Rhinolophus ferrumequinum: one gene and its partners. The protein of the gene in region 3 interacts with the protein of the main gene of each other region in a pairwise test. Links are inferred from orthologs where the notes say so. Each region holds a gene or a part of one and is shown on either strand. Other genes may lie near its edges.

What was found. The genes of interacting proteins can lie anywhere in the genome.
Region 1: the proteins of RALBP1 (region 3) and AMOTL2 interact in binary tests that used the Homo sapiens proteins (3 or more experiments, as listed by UniProt). The two-hybrid records come from large-scale screens. The link is inferred for Rhinolophus ferrumequinum from reciprocal best matches to the Homo sapiens genes RALBP1 and AMOTL2.
Region 2: the proteins of RALBP1 (region 3) and TSFM interact in binary tests that used the Homo sapiens proteins (3 or more experiments, as listed by UniProt). The two-hybrid records come from large-scale screens. The link is inferred for Rhinolophus ferrumequinum from reciprocal best matches to the Homo sapiens genes RALBP1 and TSFM.

The regions. Positions count from the first base shown.
Region 1 is NC_046300.1:34,510,746-34,518,582, forward strand, and holds the start of AMOTL2 (angiomotin-like protein 2), read right to left. Parts: upstream 3,005-7,837; 5' UTR 2,666-3,004; intron 94-2,665; 5' UTR 33-93; coding exon 1-32. UniProt on the Homo sapiens protein: Regulates the translocation of phosphorylated SRC to peripheral cell-matrix adhesion sites. Required for proper architecture of actin filaments.
Region 2 is NC_046293.1:56,677,949-56,684,779, forward strand, and holds the start of TSFM (elongation factor Ts, mitochondrial), read left to right. Parts: upstream 1-3,827; 5' UTR 3,828-3,870; coding exon 3,871-3,969; intron 3,970-4,180; coding exon 4,181-4,351; intron 4,352-4,983; coding exon 4,984-5,112; intron 5,113-5,869; coding exon 5,870-5,992; intron 5,993-6,831. Other genes in the region: EEF1AKMT3 (EEF1A lysine methyltransferase 3), read left to right, coding at 1,656-2,047. UniProt on the Homo sapiens protein: Associates with the EF-Tu.GDP complex and induces the exchange of GDP to GTP. It remains bound to the aminoacyl-tRNA.EF-Tu.GTP complex up to the GTP hydrolysis stage on the ribosome.
Region 3 is NC_046302.1:8,544,059-8,551,645, forward strand, and holds the start of RALBP1 (ralA-binding protein 1), read right to left. Parts: upstream 3,016-7,587; 5' UTR 2,840-3,015; intron 1-2,839. UniProt on the Homo sapiens protein: Multifunctional protein that functions as a downstream effector of RALA and RALB. As a GTPase-activating protein/GAP can inactivate CDC42 and RAC1 by stimulating their GTPase activity.

The DNA of each region.
Region 1 (7,837 bases), on a different chromosome or scaffold from region 3:
ACTGTCCCAGAGGAGTCTTCCAGCGTCCTCATGCTTCCTTGGCTTGCACACACCCGTCTGGACAATGGCCAGCGGCACGTGGCCCCAGGGCACCTGGGAGGAAAAAGAAAGAAGAGCAATCAGTGGGAGCACATGGAAAAGGGGGGAACTTTCCATTACAGCATAATGGTAAAGAGGACGGTTTAGAATGCCACACAAGCCTGAGTTCAACTGCCAGTGCTGCCCCCTACTGATCAAGGCAAGTTACATAACCTCTGAGCCTCAGTTTCTTCATCAGAAAAGCAAAAAGAATGCTTGCCTCCTGGAGTTGAAATTAAAAGCAGCAGTGGCTGTTGAGATCTTGGTGCACTATCCTTGACAAATGATCCTGGTTGCCATTATAATCATATTCATGGAGACTTACTAGGCCTAGAGAAAGACACCAGTACCTAGAAAGTAATCAATAAGGAACCGCAGCCTCCTGCAGTCAGTCACCTATCAAAAGCCTGATGAGAGACTCCAGGGCAGGCCTAGTTCAAATCTAACCACTGAACTGTCCCATCCAGGGGTGGACAGGGGCCCAGTTTATTGGCAGGTGATAAAGAATGAGTTCAGCCCAGTAGAAGCCCTAGGCAAACGGCCCCCAGTACCCTCTAGAATGAAGCATGTCTGAGCCCCAGCATTGGCACAGCTCACTCACCACCCTTTGCCCTGCCAAGCCTTCCCTGTCATGGGATGACCTTGGCAGTTACTCTGCAAGGTGAATGGGAAGTAGGAGAAAATGCACCTGAATTGGTGAATAAGGGACAAAAGAAGAGAGGCTACACTAGGACAATGGTTTTGTGAGATGAGGCAAAAAGTTGCCACCCATTAAGGTTTGTGGGTCAGTCAGATAGTCTGTGTTGACAGTATCTGCACTGGCACTCCAGGAAAAAGAAAGGAAGAAAGGATGGATGGTGTCTTTGAGTTTACAATTTACCCCCACCTCCACCCCCACTGCTTGGGAAAGACCCCTATCATCCTCTAGCCCCGTAGCAGAGGGGCACTCAGCACCTTCTCGACATCAGTAACAGCCACTTGAGCCGAATGGAGGAGTAAGGGAGCAAGGGGGAGGCTCTTGGTTGCAGGGACCTGGGGGATGTGAGTGCCGGCAGATAACATCTCCTGAGGATGGTGTTCCCTTCCGACCTTGGGCTCCCAGTGGCTCATGCCTGGAAGGCTGCCTGCCTCACCAGGCTTCCTTTCCACAGCCTCCTCCAACACAAACCTCCAAACAGATGCAGGGAAAGCCAAAGAAAACCCACACCTCCACAGGTCCCGCGTATATGGGGGGAGGGGTGTGGGAGGAATGTGGCCCCTCCTCTATCACAAAACTAGCCTCAGTGCGCTGCTGCAGTTTGGGTCTGGCACACTGACAAGAGTAGCCGTTCCCAATCCACTCCCTCCTCCTCCCAGGTGCTCAGAGCTGAGGAGTGGGAGACGAATCTGGAGGGCTTCTTTGTCCTCAGCCTTCCTGGCACTCTATCATGCTGTCCCCTCCCCCTACACACGAGACGAGTGGAGATGCATGACTCCAGAGCGACCAGAGGCAACACAAACAGGAATCAATTTGCCCTAGAGTTTCATCCGCGGGGCATTTTCTAAATTCATCACTGTGGGGCTGACTCCCGCCGAGGAGGAGCGGGGCCACTGCAGAGCTTTCCGGAAACATTCCTGGCCACCTTTCCCAAACAGGCTGCCTGGGAACAGGGAACACCTCCTCGAGGCCTCTCACCCCGTGTGTGTGGGGGTTAAGACCCTCCGATGCACGTCCTCTCGACCGAGCGGCTACTAAAAATCTGCATTCCCCCACCCCACCCCCATCCCTGCGGTGCACCTCGGCTGGGCTAGCGCGCCGGGCTCTCTGAACCCCCATCTTCCTAAGCAAGCACTCATCTCTGGCTTTTCCTTGGGCTCACTCGCCTAAACACCGGAGTGAGGGTCTGTCTCTAAGTCTGATCACGCCGCAGCCAGAGATCCCGTGCTACACGGACTCCCCGCGGACCTCGAGCACTCGGGGGCTGCTGGTGCGCCTAGAGCGAGCGGACCACGGTAGCCGGTGACCCAAGGAGGTCTTTAAGTGTCGCGGGTCCGCCTCCTTCTCTCCCTCGCCAGCCCTCTTTGTTTTCCGAATGCTCCTGCGCTGACGTCACCGGGCTGGACGGCAGGCTGCATTCTTTCTAAGTGAGAGCCAGTTCGTGGCTCCAGAGAGTATTTTCCAAGGAAGACAAAGAGGAATTCTTGGGCTAGTTGGGAGCAAAGACACCTGTAACCCCCACCTAACCAGATCAGCACCCCCAGGTCCTACGACTTGAGTTCGAAGCGGCACCTCCTGCACTATTCCGCGCCCCTCTCCCCGACCCGTGACCAAAACATGAACCGAGCTTTCTCTAGAGATTGCCCCCCAGGCGACCCGTGGTCCTTCAAGGACCCCCAACCCCAGGCACGCGGCACGGCGCACCCCGGGCGGAGTGGCCCTTGCCCGCCTTTGCAGCTGCCTGGAAAGGGTGCACTGCGCCCTGAGGACGCTGGGTCCACCCGGCTCCGGCTCCGGCTCCGGGAAAAGACCGGGCTGCGCCGGAGTTCGGGCTTCTGCGCGTCTCTGCCAGCCCCACACATTCCCCGAGCGCCGAGGAGCCTTCCTTACCGCTGCGGCCCGCGGGTGCTCGGCTCGGTCAGACCCGACGACCCCGCCAGGCTCCGCTCGGCTCAGCAGCGGAGGTGTGTACTCGGCGGTGTCGCCAACGCTCTGGCCGCTCGGGGTCCAGCGCGCAGCCCCAGGGTCGGCCCCCGCCGGAGGCGGCTGCTATGCCAGGAATGTGAGTTTCAGGTTCCCCCTCGGGATCAAAGCGAACCACAAATAACCTCTCAGCGCGCCGCCCTCCTCGGTCCTACGCCTCCTCCCGTTCCCTCCTCCTGGCCCCCGCCTTCCTCCGGGGAGGCGGCGCTGCGGGCTAGGAGCCGGGCGGACACCGGAGCTCCGTTCCTTCGCTGCCAGGGCCCTCCAGGACGCGCTGTGCCCCTCCCCGCCCCGCTCCCCGCCCCGCTCCCCGCCTACCCCACTCCCGCCACGATTTGCCTTCAGAGCTGCTGGGGACAAATTAATCCAACTCAGCATTATCGTCCCAGCCCCCTCCGCGCCTTCCTCTCACCCCTTCATCCTTTGGGCAGAACGACACCGAGGGATGTACATCTATTGTCCCTGAGGGATTCTGGGCGTTGCTGCAGGAGAGGGCTGGGAGTGAGGGTGGGGGCTGTGTGTGTGTGTGTGTGTGTGTGTGTGTACAGGGGGAGGGAGGACTGCAAAATTGTCCCTATCTGCTTAGTTTGGACCGTGCCCCCGCCGAAGAGATGACTGTGCTTCCTGCAGGGAGCCTCTTCTCTAAAACCCACGGCTTTCACCGGCAGCGGCAACCTTTGAATTGCACTTTTATTGTTTACAAACACCTTCACCAGCTTTTTAAGGACCTGCCTCCACAGGAAGTGTGAATCTGGGTTGGAAAATGTTCTGGTTAATTTGACCCACCTAACTGACTGAATCATCCTCCGCCAGGCGCACTGTCCAACTCTAACAGAAAGCAGTGATCAGCACCCCTTTACGCAGATCGCACCGGGTGCCACCACCCGCTTTTCACCTAGTCATCTCTCATTCAGCCCTCCCAGTCATCCTCCCAGGGAGTTCTGTTACCATCCCTGTGTTATAAATGAGGACATCAGGCTCAGAGAAGTTAATTAGCTTGCCCAGGGTCACACAGAGAGTAAGTGATGAAGCCAGGTAATCACTGGGCTGCAGTTTCTCATTCTCAAAACCTTTTCACCGCCGCCAGAATCCAGGCTCCTTCCTGGGACAGGGAAGGCCCTGGGAGCCCACCTCTCTCCATCTGCCCTCTCTCCGTTTCAGTCTCTTCATTTCCTCCTACACTCGGGCCAGCCAGGGGCCCTCCCTTATGTCCACTTCTGTTGCTCCTGCTGTTTCTCCTCTGGATGCGATTTTCTCCTCTGCCTCTAGGACCTTTCCTCCCCCACCTTCCCACTAGGCTGGTCCATCTGTGCTGATGGAAACCCATTCTTCAGAAAGCGTGTTCTGACACAGCCTCCCCATCTGCTGTCCTCTTCCTCCCACAGCTCTGTGTGCCATTCCTGAGCCCTAATCACACTGGGCCTCCAACACCTCCCAGTGGGTGTGTGGCGGGGGTGAGGTGGGGTGGGGGTGGAGTCAGGCTGCTGTCCAAGTTGAGAGTCAGGGCCTACTTCCACCCTTAAGAAGGTCATCTCCTCCCCTCACCATGGCGTTTGCAATTCCCAAACCCACTGGAGGGGACCAGGGACAAGAAAACTTTGTAAGTTCAAAGAGCTATTTACTATCCAGGGACACTGTTAATTTTTAATAAGGCCCTCCCCCAAAATTTGTGTATATGTGTGTAATTTACTTGGAAGCCAAACATTGCATTTCAAATAGTGACCAGCTCTGAGACAAATGAGAAAATCAGTCATTTGTGTTGAGCCAAGGGATATTTGGCCATCCAAGGACCATGTTACAAAGGGAAACTATGATCAATATGCCGCTGTGTCAGCTAGACACACTAGGTAGGAATTTGAGAAATGAAAAGGAAGAGAGAAGAGGGCCCCAGATGGCCTTGCCCTGTGGACAGCATTCTCCTTGGAATCACTTAGTGGAGGTGTGAGAGTGGGTGTGGCCATGTGCACTCTGGGGTTGCAAAATCAGGGGAAAGGTCACATGGTACAGTTCTGTCTTTGGGGCATTTAGGGGACACCTGACAAAACGTTTGACAAACATTCTTGAGATGGTTGCAGAAAGGGGCAGGCCCAAGGCGGCTAGAGTCAAGGAGATGCATCTTGCAGTAGGCAAGTCTGCTGCAGACATAAATAGGCCCTCGTGACTACTCACCTCTGTGTCCCAGAGCAACAGAAGCGGGAGAGGGATCCTGAAACCTGAATGGGAAATTCATACACACTTTTCTTCTCTTTTTTCCTCTTCTCTGCAAGGAGGATGGAGGGCAGGGCCTCCTTGGCAGGACAGGGTCCGAGGCCTCAGTGGAGCCTGCCTCAACTAGCAGCCATAGCCAGCTTTGCAGGGTAGTTGGGTGAGAGGGTCACCACAGCTCAGGTGAGCTGAAGGCAGGTGTGCACAGGTAGGCACTGGTCTGGGCAGCCGGCTAGCACATACACCGTCTTCACTTAAAGTAGGGGAAGAAGGTTTGCCTAGTGAGCTAATGTTTTCTTCCTTCCAGCTTTGTCTCTCGCCATCCACATTGCTCTTTCCCCCTGCAGGTAATGATTCTTCCCAGATGACAGTGTGGCTGGCTGGGTCTAGAATCCTGCTCAGGAAAGATGCAGAGGTGACCCAATCCTCAGAGTAAGCCAGGCTTGATGCCTTTGCTCTGGAAAGTACAGCTCCCAGGGGTGTGGCTGCATCATAGGTGTGTACAGGGCTTAGCAAGGGATCCAGGCACCCACACCCCTTCCCTCCTTAGCCTGGACCTGGGATCAGGCCTGGCCCTGCCGCTGTGTCTCACTGTACCCAACAGGAATATGAAGGTGAGTTCTGAGCTGGACTCTCGCAGCTCCTTCCTATAGAGCTGGAAAGGGAATGGTCTTCTTATTTCCCAAATGGTTGCTTGTTGAAGGAGGGGTTCCAGGGTCACGATGGCAATATTGAAGAAAGACTGCAAGTTGCCAAATCCTCCCAGTTTTCCCTGGACACTTCCTTTGATAGGTTATGGGGAATAGGAAGCCCCCCAGAATCTGGAGCAGGTAGCAAATTCACAGGAAGTCCTAGACATTGGGATGGAAGTTCCAATGCTAGGAACTGGTATCTTTGAGGTAGTAAAGAAGGGAAGATTGGTTTGCAATATTAATGTGACCCCAGACACCTGCCTTTTCTGCACAGCTTCCTTGTGAAGTGAGTACTGATTTGGTGAATGTGCCAATGTGCTTGGAAAGACCCTCTGCTCTTAGCAAGAGGCTGCAGAGAATGTGCAAGCCCTTGGTTTGCACGGCTTATTGTAGAGAAGAGCCCAGGGCAGGTTTTGGTGGCTGCTGGATTCAGGGCCAGTGTGATGAAAGAGTGCCCCCTAGTGAGTCTCATCCCCACAGCTGGGTCAGCTCCTCCCAGGGCTCCCAAGGTGGGTCTTGGGCTCCTGAGCCTGGTAGAAGGGGCATGTTTGGGACATGGTTTCATCCAGGAAACACATGTCTCCCAGGCCCCCCAGAATGAACTAATGGCTCCAGTTGTGTTTCTGACTTTCCTCCCATTTCAGCCTCTCCTGGGTGGTCTTATTTTATTATATTTTAAAATTTTTTTTTTTAGTTTAAATGCATTTTATTTTTAGACAACCTGCCTGAATGTTTTTCTTAAAAACAATGCCTCAGCTGCAAATAAATCAAGGTCAAAATAAACGATGAGCTCAAGATAACACCAGTCCTGTTTGTACCAGCTTTGGTGTGTGGATGTAAAGCAGCCTCCAGTTACGATGACAAGTGATGGATCCAAACCACCAACTCTGTTAGCATTATTTTTTTAACTCTCTAAACCATCCTCAAAGAAAATCACATATGAGGTCCCACTATCCTCACAGTAGTCCAGCAGAGCAACCACGTCATCTGGATTCGTGTTTTCCCCAATAAAGAACTGGTAGTTTTTGGAATTAGCAAGAAAGTGCTTGATTTATTCTGCATCCCCTGTCACAAAAGGTTTTACTCTTTTTTGGTCTGTGTATTTCAAGTTTCCCTGTGATTGATTTCATGTAGTCTTTGATGTACTTCTTGTAGGCTTCTTTTGTGAAGCTGGTTTCCTGCAAATGACAATTATCAACACCAGAGACCACTGTGCTTTCCTGTTCTTTCGCCCTCGGGGTCTTCAGTGGAGGCATTTCCACCAATGAGCGAGTCATCAATGTTCCCCTCATCAATGTTACCCTACTAACCATCTTTCCCTCCAGCTGCAGGCACTGCTGGACCATGGTCTCCTGGATTTTGTAGTTGTGGGAGAACATCTCATCATGACTGATGAGATCCAGGTGGCTGATCATGATGGCCGCTGGAAGGAGACTGTGTCCTGGGGCGCTGGCTTAGCAGGAGCTCGGAGCTAGTGTGATGCAGGGGGAACAGCGCTGGGGGTGGGGAGCAGGTGGGAAAGGCACATGGTCTTTAAAGAGATATCATCTTTAACACAAACAACATTAAATCATTGACATTGAGAGAATACCTTGCATTTACTCACCTATTCACCTTTCCATGCATCTTTTCTGTGTTGTATTTCATGGATTTGTTCAACAAATATTTCCTGAGCACCCACTCTGAGACAGGCCCTATGAATCAAAGGGGGTTTCTATCCTTGTGGAGCTCACAGGTCACTGGGTGCAGGGGAGAAAGAGGCTAGTACATTACACAGCAGAGAGTTCCATCTTGGAATTTGAAAATCTGGGCACAGGGGTGGAGTCATGGCAGGCTTCCTGGATGAAGTACTTCTTTTTTTTATTGGAGAATATTGGGGAACAGTGTGTTTCTCCAGGGCCCATCAGCTCCAAGTCATTGTCCTTCAATCTAGTTGTGGAGGGCACAGCTCAGCTCCAAGTCCAGTCGATGTTTTCAATCTTAGTTGCAGGGGGCACAGCCCACCATCCCATGTGGGAATTGAACCCGCAACCTTGTTGTTAAGAGCTCGTGCTCTAACCACCTGAGCCATCCAGCCACCCCTGAGGAGGTACTTCTCAAGCTGAGCACTAAGGCCAAGATGGACTGTGAGGTGTCTTCCCCAGGCTGGTATCTGGAGAACCAGCACTAGAAGCACAGACTC
Region 2 (6,831 bases), on a different chromosome or scaffold from region 3:
TTCAGGAGCAGTGCTGAGAGCCCTTCCTTTTTCTGTCTACACTCTCTCCCAAGCAATCCCATCACCTCATGGATTTCAATGCCCTTTCTATGCTGATCGCATTCTAACCAACTGAGCCATCCAGCCACCCCTCTGGAAGCTCTCTGGAAGCTCAGCAGCAGCTCGTTGTCTTCAATCTAGTTCTGGAATGCACAGCTCTCTGGCCCACGCGGGAATCAAACCGGCAACCCTCTTGTTCAGAACTCACACTCTAACTAACTGAGCCATCTGGCTGTCCTCAGAGTAATCTTTTAAAAGCATAAGTTAATGTATGTCATTCTTCCATTTAAAATTCTCCAATAGCTTCCTATCTCACTCAGACTAAAAGCCAAATTTCCCACAGTCTCCTGACAAGGCCCCCGTTAGGATTTGGCTCCTACTCTTATCCCCCTCACTTACTCTGCTCCAGTCACTGGCCTTCTTGCTGCTCCTTAAGCCTGCCAGACACTGCCCTACCTCAATGTCTTTGCACTTGCTGGTCCCTCGTTGGGTGCGTTTTAGCCTGAGAGATCCATCTGGTTTGTTCCATTATTTCCTTCCATTTTTTTGCTCAAATATATCTGCTCGGTAAGGCTTTCCCTAACCACCCAATTTAAAATTACCTTCCCTGCTTGTCCCCCAAGCAGTTCTTACCCTCCTTCCCTGCTTGTAGCTTCACCAGAGTAATTTATTACTATTTGACATACAGTGTATTTTATGTATTTTGTTTGTTGTCCATTTCTTGCCAGTAGACTATAAGCTCCAGGAGCAGAGGGATTCTCATCTGATTGGTTTATTCTCAGTACCTGGCATATAGGCATGTAATAAATATTAATGAATGAATTCTTAATACTTCTCGTTTCTATAATGGCCATCATGATGATGATTAAAGAGTTTTGCAGTACTTAGTGTGTCTCTACCTCTAGAATAAAACTCAAGGAAGGCTGAGGTTTTGTCTTGCTCACCACTGTATCCCCAGAACTTAGTAGGTGCTCAATACATATACTTTCTGAGACGCTAATCTGATCATCTTGACCTCCTACTTCTGCCTTTAAAACCTATTGCCCTCAGAATCAAGCCTGAATCTCCTTAGCATGTCATAACCATTTTTCTCTTTACTCTCATGTCTTGACACTTTTTTCCTCCCTTCTACATTCTCTAAGATCTAGCCTTCCTTGAATATGCTGTGCTCTCTCACCTCCAGGCCTTTGTACTCTCTGCTCTCTGCTTGGAAAACTCCCCCGGACTAACTCCTACTTGTCCTTTAAAGCTCACTGAGGTCATGTCTTCTGGGAACTTTTCCAGACCCCCGAAGGCTGATCTGTGTCAGTAGGGGGTGGGTACATAGCCCATCTCTAGCTTAGTGCTGCCAGGCTTCTGCTGACATACTTGTATGATTGCTGTGTTTGGGGCAGAGAGGTTGAAGATTAGCTTAGAGAGAATGTTGATGTTGTAGAATGTAGAGTAGTGAAAATGGCGGTGGGTAAGATGGAGGTTAGGGCAACTAAAAGCCAAAGTATGGACTTCGGGTTGTCAAGACATTTTCCTCCAGGTCCAGAGATCTCTGGACCTTCTGGGCAGGAGCCAAAACCCCTTGGTTGGTCCTTCTGACTTGATTTCTCCTCCCTTTTTCTCAGGGGGTGATGTTACCATCACTGACCTACCCCTGGCCCTAGAACAGATCCAGCTCAACGTCCAGGCCAATGTGCCAGCTGGAGGCCGGGCCCAGGTCCGTGCCTTGTCCTGGGGGATTAACCAACATGTCTTCCCTGGAGACTATGACCTGGTGCTGGGGGCTGATATCGTGTATCTGGAGCCCACCTTCCCACTGCTGCTGGGGACCCTCCAACACCTGTGCGGGACCCATGGCACCATCTATCTGGCCTCCAAGATGAGAGAGGAGCATGGGACAGAGAGCTTCTTTCAGCAACTCCTGCCCCAGCATTTTCAACTGGAGCTGGCCCAGCGGGATGAGGATGAGAATGTCAACATCTATAGGGCCAGGCACAGGGAACCAAGACCTGCTTGATGTCACCTTCTGCTCCTTTGAACTCCTTGTCCTAATGAAGGAACTGCCATGTCTCCAAAGCCAGAAACATAAGGACCAAAAAGGATGGATTTCCCTTGCCTTTCTGTTTCCTCCTTCCCTCTTAGTTCCCCCAGATTCTCTTGGGCAGGTGCAAGGAGGTGCCTGCTTGCTAGGAATCCTAGAGCCCTAGCAACACTGGGTTAGAGTGCAAAGGAAGTTCCCAGCTCTTGTTCTCAGCAGAGGAAGATGGGAAGGTATCCAGGGTTTTTAGGGTGGTGGGGGGAAGTAAATGGGATGTGAGAGCAGGGGCTACAGAGAGACTATCATTGATTACTTCCTCTCCTGCTGTTGTCCTTTTATACAGAATAGATTTGCGGGGGTGGGGGGGGGGAGGATGCAGATTCTACTGGAATTTTTTTAAAAGGAAAAAAACATAAGCATTAAATATCTCTTCTGCATCCAAGGAAATCAGGCTTTTGTTGGGGGGCTGGAAGGAAGAAGCCTCAGACCACCCACTTCTTGCTTCTAGAGTCTGGTGGGCCCATGGCTCCAACTGGGTCAAGTTCTCCCGGGCCTGAAGCTGGGGATAGGCAGCAGAGCTGTCCTCTGGACTGTAACTTCATCCTTTTCGGAGCTGGGGTCCTGACCACTGAGTACTAGGTTCTTCTTCTCTTTAAGTTTCCAAGTCCTGTCAGTCCTTCTTTCCTAATGTGTTTTACCTTCAGCTCTTTTCTCTTCCCACTGTGGAACCTCTGGTTGGGGTTCTCCTTACTTAATCCTTGGGCCACATATCACCTCCTCTGGACTCCTGGACTTCAACTCTTGTGATCTTCCAAAGTCAGCTCTGCTTAGCTTCTGCTGCTGCCTGCAGAAGTAAGAGTAAGCTCCTCTGCTGGGTACTCAGTCTACCCTCTGCTTCATGTCCTACTGGTTTCCAACATGATTGCAACCTTGGACCAAATTGCGTAAGGTCTACTATTTGTTCCCTAAATCCATACCAAGATTCCCTCACTTATTTCTTCTTCTTCTCCTTCTCCTTCTCGTTCTCCTTCTCCTTCTTCTTCTCGTTCTCCTCCTCCTCCTCTTCCTCCTGCTTCTCCTTTTTTTAATGATTCCCTCCCTAGAAGGGCTATTTCTACCTGTTAAAATCTTCATTACGCTTAGCCTATATGCTGAAAAAAGCTTTTCCTGAGCCACCTGTTTGGATGTAATTTATTTCTCCCTTGACACTCTTTAACTGTTTGTTCATCTAATGGGACTTAACTTGTCTTGTGTGGTCATATGTCTGCTCCCTATTTTTTTCACCATTAGATTACCTTGGAGGGTAGGGCTGTGGTTTACTTACTTATAATTCCCTGAAGCCTAGCACAGTTCCTGGCACAACGTAGGTGTTCAGTAAATATTTTGTTCATTCAACAAATATTTATTGGGTTTATTGGAGGGATTGCACCACGACCTCCTTAGGCAGCCTCTGGCAAATTTCTGAACCTACCCACCTACCTCACAATTTTGTCTTGAGTCATAAGTCGATAATAAATATGAAAGCGCATTTGAAGTAAACAAAGTGTCACCACATGCCTTGTACTGTTATTTTGTGACGGCTTTCTCTCATGGTTTCCTGTTTCACCTGTGGGGAGGTAATTCCTTCCCGAAATGTAGTTTCAATAAACCAAGTAGGGGACGCGAATGCGCTCCCTCCGACCAGCAGGTGGCACTGTCCCGATCGGGCGCGTCGCAGTGGAGAGGTTTGGCCCCGCCGCCACGCCGTAGGCCCGTGGCCTCACCCGTGGGCCCGCGGGCTGTAGTGTCCGGCGGCCGGAGAAATGTCGCTGCTTCGGTCCCTGCGTCTCTGCCAGGTAGCACGGACCGGGAGCTGCTCGGTGAGGGGTTTTGGCCCTAGCACCGACCTGCCTTCCTTTAAGGTCTCCCGTGCACTCCTACCTCTGACCCCCTTTCGACTCCATCCCACCTTTCCCCCTACCTCTTTGCCTCTCCGTGGTCCAGCCCCCGCGCGCTGCCTTTCCCCCAACCCCGGGGACCCACCCTGTCCTAAGGTCGCCTCCCTGCCGACGTGCCTTTCACCCTTGGAGCACCTGGCTGCTTCATCCCTTTATTCTTACCCCCTCCCCCCAGGCAGGATCCCTGCTTCAGTCGCCCCAGCCGCGGCACACATTTCATGCTGGGCCCTGGCTGTCCTCCTCGGCCTCCAACAAGGAGCTCCTCATGAAGCTGCGGCGAAAAACGGGCTATTCCTTTGTTAACTGCAAGAAAGCTCTGGAGACTTGTGGCGGGAATCTCAAACAGGTGTGGGGGAGGCGGGAGAGGGGGGCAGGGAGGGGTACTAGGGCCCAGTCCCAGTCTTTTAGGGATGTCACGCTGGGGAGCACAGAAGTCAGGTCTGCTGTCCGGTGACTCAACGGCAGACCTCTAGATAGGATTCTCACTTAAATGACCTCAGCCTTTGACTATTATTTAGAAGCAGTTGACTCAGGATCTCAGGGCTAACAAACCCTATTCCATGCAAAACTGCTATGTTGTTACGTGCTGCTTAGAGCTGAAAGGGCATGTTTGAACTTTGGAGTCAGACGGACCAGGACTCATCCTGTGACCGTGGACCACTTCTTGCTTCTAGAGAGTCTGGTGGGCCCACCTTACTTAATCTTGCAGTGTTGCATTGTTCTTGTATATATAAATGAAAATACCACTATCTGCTCCATAAGGTTGTTGTGAAGATTAAACTTATCCAAAGCAACAGACACAATGCTTGGTATTTGGCCTTTCATGGTAGGCTGCCAGTAAATGATAGATTACTTCAGTTTCTATTATGGGATTGAGGGGAAGCAGAAAGAGTCAGGGGATTTGAACATATTTTAGAGCCCCATTCAGTTCTAAATTCTCTGACTTTGTCATCTGCCCTTTTTCTTTTCAATTTATAGGCAGAGAGCTGGCTTCATGAGCAGGCCCAGAAAGAGGGCTGGAGCAAAGCTGCCAAGCTTCATGGGAGGAAAACTAAAGAAGGCCTGATTGGGCTGCTGCAGGAAGGAAACACGACTGTGTTAGTAGAGGTGAGTTGTCAGAAGTTCAGACACCAGGAACTTCGGGGTAAGGATTTGTGGTAGACTCTTTGCATTCTTAAAGAAGAGACGTTTGAGAGCCACAAAGGGTATTTGAATTAAACCTGTGAGATCACAGTTATTAGTTGTGGATTCATTTAAGTTCAGAAATACACAGGTATGTTGATGAGAAAAGGCCTAGCAGTCTAGAATATTACTCCTAAATGTGAGCCTAGTGTAGCCTTACACCTTGTCACTGATTCTTTCCTGGAACAGTTAGATTTTAAAGCTAAGAATTATATTAATTAATTAGTTGATGGATAGAGAGTAGCTGTTTTAGAGATTTGGGGGCCCCAATTGTTGAAGAATCAGATGTGGATTAGAGTGAGATTGGGGTGGATTAGAGTTTAAAGAGAAGGAGATAAATAAACTGAGCAAAAGTAGTTTGTAGTTGGGGGTGAATGAGGTATTATGGCATGCAGCCACAGGCACGTGGTGAAGTTGTAGTGAGTCTTTTGGGGACCTTACGGAACCATCTTCTGAATGTGCACGTCATTGCTAACTCAGGGACCGAGCAGGAATCACTTCATTTAGTTTCTGGCCTCAAACTAGGAGAGGAACTGCAGCTTTAAAATTCTGGGGTCATTTATTTCTGCTTTGTTGAGTCTACAGCTTGTTCTATCAATACCTTGGTTTACTCTCCAACTTAAGGCACTTTTGGAAACTATCAGTAAACAGCTTATATAGCAACTTCAATTTGTTCCCACAGGTAAACTGTGAGACAGATTTTGTTTCAAGAAATATAAAATTTCAACAATTAGTCCAGCAAGTAGCCTTTGGAGCCATGTTGCATTGTCAGAGCCTAAAGGATCAACTCTCCACATACAGTAAAGTGAGTTTTGCTGTCTCCAACATGCTGGATTTGTTACCCCCTACCTCCCTTAGAGTCTTTGCTATTCCCTTTTTTCAGACATTCTGATGCCTCACTTCCTTACTTCATGTCTCTGCTTAAATGTTACCTCTTTGGAGAGGCATACCCTTCTTCCTGTGGCTCTGTCCCCTTATTTTACTTCATTTAAAAATCTTTTGCTGTTGTACTTATATATTACATTTTTATTTATTTGTATGTTCTCTGTCTTCCCCAATAGAACACAAGCTGCATGAGGCAGGGAAATTTGCCTTTTCACTACTGTGTTTCTGATGAAAGAGAAGTGGGCCCAGCCCTTGGTTGAGGCTTGGTAACTGTGTGTTAAATGAATGAATGAATGCCACTTGGGTGGAGTCAGTCAAATCATGTGCAGATTTGTATTTAGAAATCTAGAATGGCCTGAGGTAAGGATTCCTAAATAAAGGTACTGTGAAAGGCACAATTTAGGAGAATAATCATAGTCTTGTCCATAGAAAGATCAAGGAAGGAGTTATATCAGTTTGCCTTTGATTCAACCTTATTTTCAGGCAAAAATGAACCAACTACTTACACAACTTTTTTGTGTTTAGTACCACCCTTTTTCTCCTATTTCTCCTTTTCTTGAGATCTCATGGTAAAAGTTACTGGCATTAAATAGTCACATTACATGGAAAACTGTGTTGAGATGATTTCTTAGAATTGTATTGAGTGGATGTGTCACTTGAACTAGAAATCTTAATCTTGACTTTGCCATTAATTCTATTTGCAACCCTGAGCCATTCACTTTCCTGTGCTTTTCTGTTTCATTATCTGTAACAGGGAAC
Region 3 (7,587 bases):
ACTTCCACTCCGTATATCCAAAAGCTAAAATACTATTCCTCCCCAAATATGGACCTCTTCCAGAATTCCATCTCATTGTTTATTCCATTACTATTGTTTATTCAATCACCCAAATGAAAATCCAAGTCATTTTACCCTACTATTTCTCACTCCCCAAATCCAATTGTTACTGAATCCTATGACTTCTACCTTCTAAATATTTGTGTTATTAACCTAATCCTCTGTATCTCCACTGACACTACCTTTGTTTAGGCCCTTATCTGTCACCTCAAGTATTACAAAAACTCCTAAGCAGTCTTTCTGCATCCTGCCTTATTGTTCCTCTATCTCTTCTGAAATCTATACAATAGCAGAATGACCTTTCTAAAATAAACCTTATTATGACTCTTTCCTGATTAAAATTCATATATTCTATTATTATCTACAGGAAAAAACGTCTACCATCCTTAGAATAGCATGCAACATTTGAAGGATCTATCTGCGCAGCCTCATCTTCTGCTACTTACCATAATCCCAGTATTTATAATTAACTCAACGCTATAGCTGTGGAGAGCTTCCCATTCTTAAAAGTGTACCATGCTCTCTCTAATTATGTCCCACTTTCCCTCTGCCTTAAGTTGCTTTCTCCCCATTTTCTTCCTCAGTCATGCCTAAGCCTTCCTTAAGTTAAAGGACATAGACTATAAAGCACCTGATATAATACTTAACACATCAGGGAGTGGAAATGGATGGGGCTGGCTTAGGCCTCTCTTGTTTATCCAGTCTCAATGACTCCTATGTGCTTACAAGGTAAAGCTGAAATTACTTCTACTGTATACAAGACTATCCATAATTTGGTCTCTGCCTACCTCCCCAGTTTCATGTCTTGCCACCACCCTACATTCTTGCTGGTTACACCTGCGGATCCTACAACTCATTGTGTAAGTTTAGACTCCTGTGCTTTTGCTGGCACTGTTCCTTCTACCTAAATGGCCACCTTTCTATGCATGTATACCTGTTGTTTTCATCCCCTCCTCTACACGCTGTCTCCTTACTACTGCCCCTTCCTCAGTCTCTCCTTCTCTTCCTTAAGAAACTGACCACTTCCTCATTTCTACACCCACTGTATCCGCATACTTTCTCCAATCAAAGCAATCTTAAAAACATATTGTACTTGTTGACATTTCAAGTAAGAGATAAAGTCTTACCACCCTGAAGGCAGGCTACTGCCTTATCCATTTGTAAGTCCTCATCTCCTGGCACAGTACCTGCTACAAGTAATTCCTCTACACTAAATGACCTGCATTTTTCTTTATTGTCTCCTTGTAAACTAACATAAGTTTCTCTTGGAATTTTTCTTTCAGAAAAGAAAGAACATACTTTTGGGTTACGTTCGGGACCCAACCTCTCCTGGTCAAGCATACAACTGTGCAAATAGAAATTAAAGTTAATATGTGTTTTTTTTATACCACTTCTGTTTTTCTAAATGAGGGGAGAAATGGTCCCTCCCAGATCTAAAATGAGAAATACTATTCTGAAGAGATAGCATTTAAGTTATGTCACATTGCTTGAAGGTACTTTGTTTAAAGAATTCTCAACTGTTACTGTTAAACTAACCTACCCTACATAAATTTATGGGTCACTTATGAAAAGTGGGAACCACTCTACTTCCTTCCTACATCTACTACTGCCAATACAGCTTATGGCAATTACTCATCTTCAGCAAGATACTCAGAAAGTAATAATCAAATCACCAAAATAACTCCAAAGGCAGAAAGTGAGGTTACCTTTCTCATTCACAGTCCCATTTAAAAGTGCTGCCTCCGTGACCACCAAACCAAAAGTGGGCCTGTTGCTTATCACCACTTAAATATTTTGTGAATAGCTGCCAAGTATGACGGAATGCTACTCAAAGTGCTCCAGCATTTGAACATGACCACTCCACTAAACAAAAAATTCAGTGATAACTTTTCTAATGAGGCTAGATGGTGTGTTAACTCAACGTCCAAACGACTGTACTTCTTTGACACGCACATTCAAACTATCTCGAGTTAACATTTTAATTATTATCTAGAACTCTTTTAGGCCCTACGGGAATCCTGATGCTTGCTCAAGAGGGAGGCTCTGTAGTAATGAATCCCCAAACTTGAAACAGCATGATCACTTTAGATAAGACTGAGATGTGAAATATTTTGCAAAACCTGTTTCACTCACACAACGATTTAAAAAAAAAAAAAAAAAGCTGACCTCAATAACAGCATTTTGGTACAAGCATACTTGAAAGTGCGCTGTGAAAGGAATTCTGAACCCCAGACTGTCCGTCCATTCCCACTGAAACCTGAACTAAGGACCGCAGCACCCAAAGGAGCCCCACTGCTTCCATGCCAGCGGTGGGAAACATCAAAAGCGTGTTCCTAGTCCACTGGGCAAGCACTAGAGACGGGTCAATATTCCGGATGCGATTAGAAAATAGCGGTTATATAAAAGACAGTCCTCTCCTCCGTTCCGGTGTGCCCCAGAACTGCCCTGAGGCCTGGAACCCCAAGGAGGGAGGGGTTCTGTTCCTGACTCCCCTCCTCCCGACCCCAGGAGCACCAAATCACAAATGCGGCTGCCATGAGGGAGGCCCGGCTGGCAAGTGGGAGGAACGCACAGCGAAGGGGGCGAGAACTGAAGAGAAGCCTGCGGGCTATGAACCCGCAGTGGGGCAGCCACGCCCCCCACCCCCAACTCCAGCCCGGCGTGCGGCTAGCGCCCAGCCCAGCACGCTGCCAGATACAGACGCGGCTGCGGAGAGGGCTCTCCGGACACGCGACTGGCAAGGCTGCGACCCCGCACGCCACCGCTGACCGCTACCAACCTGAGCCCGCCGCCGCGCGACCGGCCGCCCCCGCCACAGCCACCTCCTCCTCGCGTTCACGCTGCCACCGCAGCCACCGTAGCCGCCTCCTGCGCTGCGCCCCAGACCGGCCTTGGGAGCCCCATTCCCAACCCGCCCCAGCCTCCGCCTGTTTACAATGATTGGGACAGAACAAGACGAGCCGGCCCAGCGCGCAAGCGCATTCCCTCCTCCCGCCGCAGCCGGCTTCCCGGGTCCTCTTCTGTGCGTTGACGGCTAAGGCCGACGAGGGTAAACGCCCTGTGCCGTCGCGCGGGGCACACTGGGAGGCGTAGTTCTCGAAAACCCAAGCGCCCAACCTACAGGAGGGCACTTCGTCGAGGAAGTATACTACAACACCCAGGAAGAACCGCGCCTCCTTCGGCCCAGTAGCTCGCTGAGGAGACTGAGGGAGCGCGAGAGAACGCGCCGCGCTAGCGCTCTGTGGGAGCCTGCGCAGTTCCTGGTCTTGGGGGACTGGGTGGGACATACACCTACCCCAAGCAAATACTGTCCGCGTAGGTGGTTTGGGGGCGCTACCTGTGGTGATCTTGAAAAAGGAAATACCTTTCGTCTCCATGCTGTGGCAAGCCTGTTCCTCAGCTACTGAAGTTCAGACCTTTTGTGCCAGCGGGCTTCTGTTGTCCTAACCAGTTAAACCAGCCTAGGAGGCCGGCCCAGCCTGCGGCTGGGTGGGACATCTTCCCGGCCTTGGGCTGGGTGGGGCATCTTTTGCTTGGGGTGGGGACTCCTGCACTGGAGGGAGAGGGAGGTTGTTAAAGCAAGCGCTGTGGGTCTTTAAGGAGAGATTTACATAAAACTGTCGGGACCTTCTTCAGAATTCCCAAAGTGGGTGCTGAAAAAGGAATAGTCCTTGGTTCTTGTGTAACAGCAGGACTGCTGTCTTCCATCGCCCTTTTTGGTTCAACATTTACAAAGGAACATCTGAATTAGAACCGCCCAGAGCATGGTTAGCTTGCAACTAGAACTGAGCCATGAGGAAGACTGGAAACAACTGGGTTTCTGGAGGAAATCCTGCACAAAGGGGTCGTGCGGGGCGGCCTGTGGGGTCTCTGGTCCCGCTCCCCACATAAGAATGCAGGACATGGTGAGGCCAAAAAGGAACACCCACGGAGCCATCGGTAGGGGAGTCATACTACTATATTCTCATTGGCGGCATCCGCCTCTCTGCAATCCACTCTTGCTAGCTCAGCCACCATCTTCTTGCTAGCCCCCATTTTTTACTAGTGTAGCCACGGCAGTTATATTAGTGCCCAATGGCTCACTGGTTACAGCTGACAGCCAACTAGCCACAGCTGATGGCCATTTGATCACAGTCGATGGCCATTTACTACCTGAGCCAGCACCTTTCCATGTGAGGCCGAGAGCCTGGAAACTGCTTTTTGGGGCTCTATCCCCACACTCCACCCCTACGGGGTCTCGCCTCACAATCTACGCGACAAGCGTCTTTCGTGAGGGGCCCTGTGCGAGGAGCCTGGAGGTGAATGCTATTTCCTGGACACAGCCAGGCTCTCTGGGCACAGCCAGGGTTTCTCAGGGTACCACCAGTACTTCTGGGCACAGCCAGACTTCCTGGACTTCTTAGGGTACCACTAGTCTCCCTGGGCACAGCCAGGGCTCTCAGGGCACTGCCACTCTCTCTGGACACAGCCAGACTTCGACTCAGCCAGGGCTCTCAGGGCACTGCCACTCTCTCTGGGCACAGCCAGACCTCCTGGACTCAGCCAGGGCTCTCAGGGCATTGCCACTCTCTCTGGGCCTCTTGGTACCATGGTGGAACAACAGCGACTCACAGTCAAGGTGCTTACATATTCTTGATGGCGGCCGGTCAAGACACAAAAGCAAATATCCGCCAGTACCACTACATGGTGGTATGTTCCCAAACAGTCAAGTGGTCCATTAAATTAGGGATGGAAGGCAATTCCCCACAGTCCACAGTCATTCGCCAGGGCTGTCCTGGGGGTGAGGGATGACCTTGACCTCACCCACATCTCCCACGGAGGACTCAGCAAGCCTTTCCTCCTGGGACAAGTCCCGTGTCTGGGCTGCCTCAGCAAGAACTTCCCAGACCACAGGGCTGCAAGGACCTTTGCTTTCTCCGGCCTCTGCTGGTTGGGGAACCGTCCACGTCTTTCCACCCCTCCACGGGGGTCGAGCTCTCCCCGGCAGCAGCTCCTACTGGTCTTCCTAAGACTGAGTGTTCATATGCACAAACTGCTCCACCGCCCTTCGGAGAGCTTTGGCCGGCACCGTACCCTGCTCACTGCGCCATTTGTCGTGCAGGGGATCCTGCCGACTACGCCATGTGTCATGCGGGGCGGCCTGCGGGGTCTCTGGTCTCGCTCCCCACATAAGAATGCAGGACATGGTGAGAAAAAGGAACACCCACAGAGCCATAGGTAGGGGAGTCATACCACTATATTCTCACTGGCGGCATCCACCTCTCTGCAATCCGCTCTTGCTAGCCCAGCCACCATCTTGCTAGCCCCCATTTTTTGCTAGCCTAGCCACGGCAGTTATATTAGTGCCCAATGGCTCACTGGTTACAGCTGACGGCCAACTAGCCACAGCTGATGGCCATTTGATCACAGTCGATGGCCATTTACTACCTGAGCCAGCACCTTTCTATGTGAGGCCGAGAGCCTGGAAACTGCTTTTTGGGGCTCTGTCCCCACAAAAGGCTTGAAGAATTGTTCTATTAATGCATGGCTGGAAATCAGAGGTCTTTTGAAGTGTTCTTGTTTTATAAAATTTAGCAACTTATTAGGGGAAATACGATTGGGATCGTTGGTCCTTCCCAAACCCTTCCATTCCTACATGCAATGCTCTTTAGAACTTCATTGCGTATTTAGATTGACCTCTGTAAGCCATCCTGCACTATACCTCCCAGATCAGCTTCTCACAAAACTGACAGTAGATCTCTCTCTCCGTTGCACTCTGCATTTCCTACCTCATAAAGTTCAGCCACTGAGCTTGACATTCAAGAGCCTCCCACAATTGGATACCAAGATGGTCTGTGGTAACCACTGTTTTCTGATTGCTTGAAGTTTTTTTTATTGCCCTTTTGGCAACAAAACAATGTCCTCTGACTACTCAGACGGGCATGTCATCATGATAGTTACTCTGCCTCGGGCAACACTGATCGGGCCAAAAGATAGACACTGACTCAAGTTGGTGCATTTCTGAGCCCTTGCTTGAAATTGCTAGACGGATAGGGATGAGAGGGGAAGAAGCTTTTTACCGAAGTAACTGCAGCTGGCCATGTTCTTCACAACACTAAGAAGCCTGTCTGAAGTAGGAAGGGATGAGGCCCAGAGGTGGGGGATGGAAAGGGAGAGACACAAAGAGCTGGCAGCATGAAGACTATAGTTTCAGTTTCAGAGGCCATGATTTTTGTATGACTCTTCTTTAAGTGCTTTGAGTGTGTGAGCCTAGCTAGGTGAGCCAATGCATTTATTTATTATTATTTAGGGCTAATTTGTATAGTTATAGAATATATTTGTTGGTTGCCTCCTGAGCATTTGTTCCTCCCGTTTAAGTCATGTAACATAACCATTCCCTCTAGTGGCTGAGAGTTACAAAGATGATCACACAACCCAATCAGAACCAATGAGCCCCCCAGAGACTTGAGCTGGGACTTCTAGTAAACTGCAGCACACTTCCTCTTCTGGTATGGTGTAAGTATATGAAGTCTGAAAATGTAGCAACTATTTTGTTTCTTCAAGAGGAAAGCCTAAAGGGATAGGGTTCAGGGGAGAGGCACCTGTAGAGACTAAAGATGAAGTCAATACTGTCAAATGAGTGCTGGAAAGGAGAGGAACCTTGTGTTTGGTGGCATCATTAGAGCTGCACTATCAAATCTCACCTGTTTGACCTATAGACTAACCTATACACTACGTAGAATTGTGAGCCATAAATGTCCTGCACTGTTTAATCCAGTTTGTATTGGGTGTTTTCTGTGACTCAAAATTCTAAAAGTTCTAACTAATTCAGTTGGATTTCTTTTATATGATATTTAAATGTCATGACTAATACAAGTTCCTACTTAAAAAGAAACTGGAAGAGACTTTCAGTTATGGCTATGTGATATGGTCAACAATTCCTCTGCACACAAAACAGGTATAATACTGGACAAAATTGTCTAAAACAACCATTTCAGGGCACTAGACTATTAATAATAGACAACAATTTGAGAAACATCTGTTCTTGAAAAACTTCTAGAAATTCTAGGAGGAACAATAGATGTCTATGACCTTCTGCCTGAGACTGCTTTTTTACTGCCCTGTCGTCCAGAACTGTAGTTTTATCAGTGGGTAGCGCTAGCCAAGAAAACAAGCAGCTTTGCTGCCAGAGAAGACCGACTAGATTTGTGGTGGGAGGTAAAAAAAAAACCCATGGCTTTGCCAGCTGGAGGGAGTATAAAATGGTGCATCTGCTGTGAAAGACAGTACTGTTTTTCCTCAAAATATTAAATACAGAATTACTATTTGATCCAACAATTCCACTTCTGAGTATGTACCCAAAGTAATTGAAATCAGGGACCCAAAGAGATATTTGCATATTCACATTTGTAGTAGCATTATTTGCAATAATCAACAGGTAGAGGCAACCCTGGTGTCCACTGATGGGTACATAAAATGTGGTATACACATAGAGTGGAATATTATTTAGCCTTTAAAAGGAAAGAAGTTCTAACTCATGTAAAACAA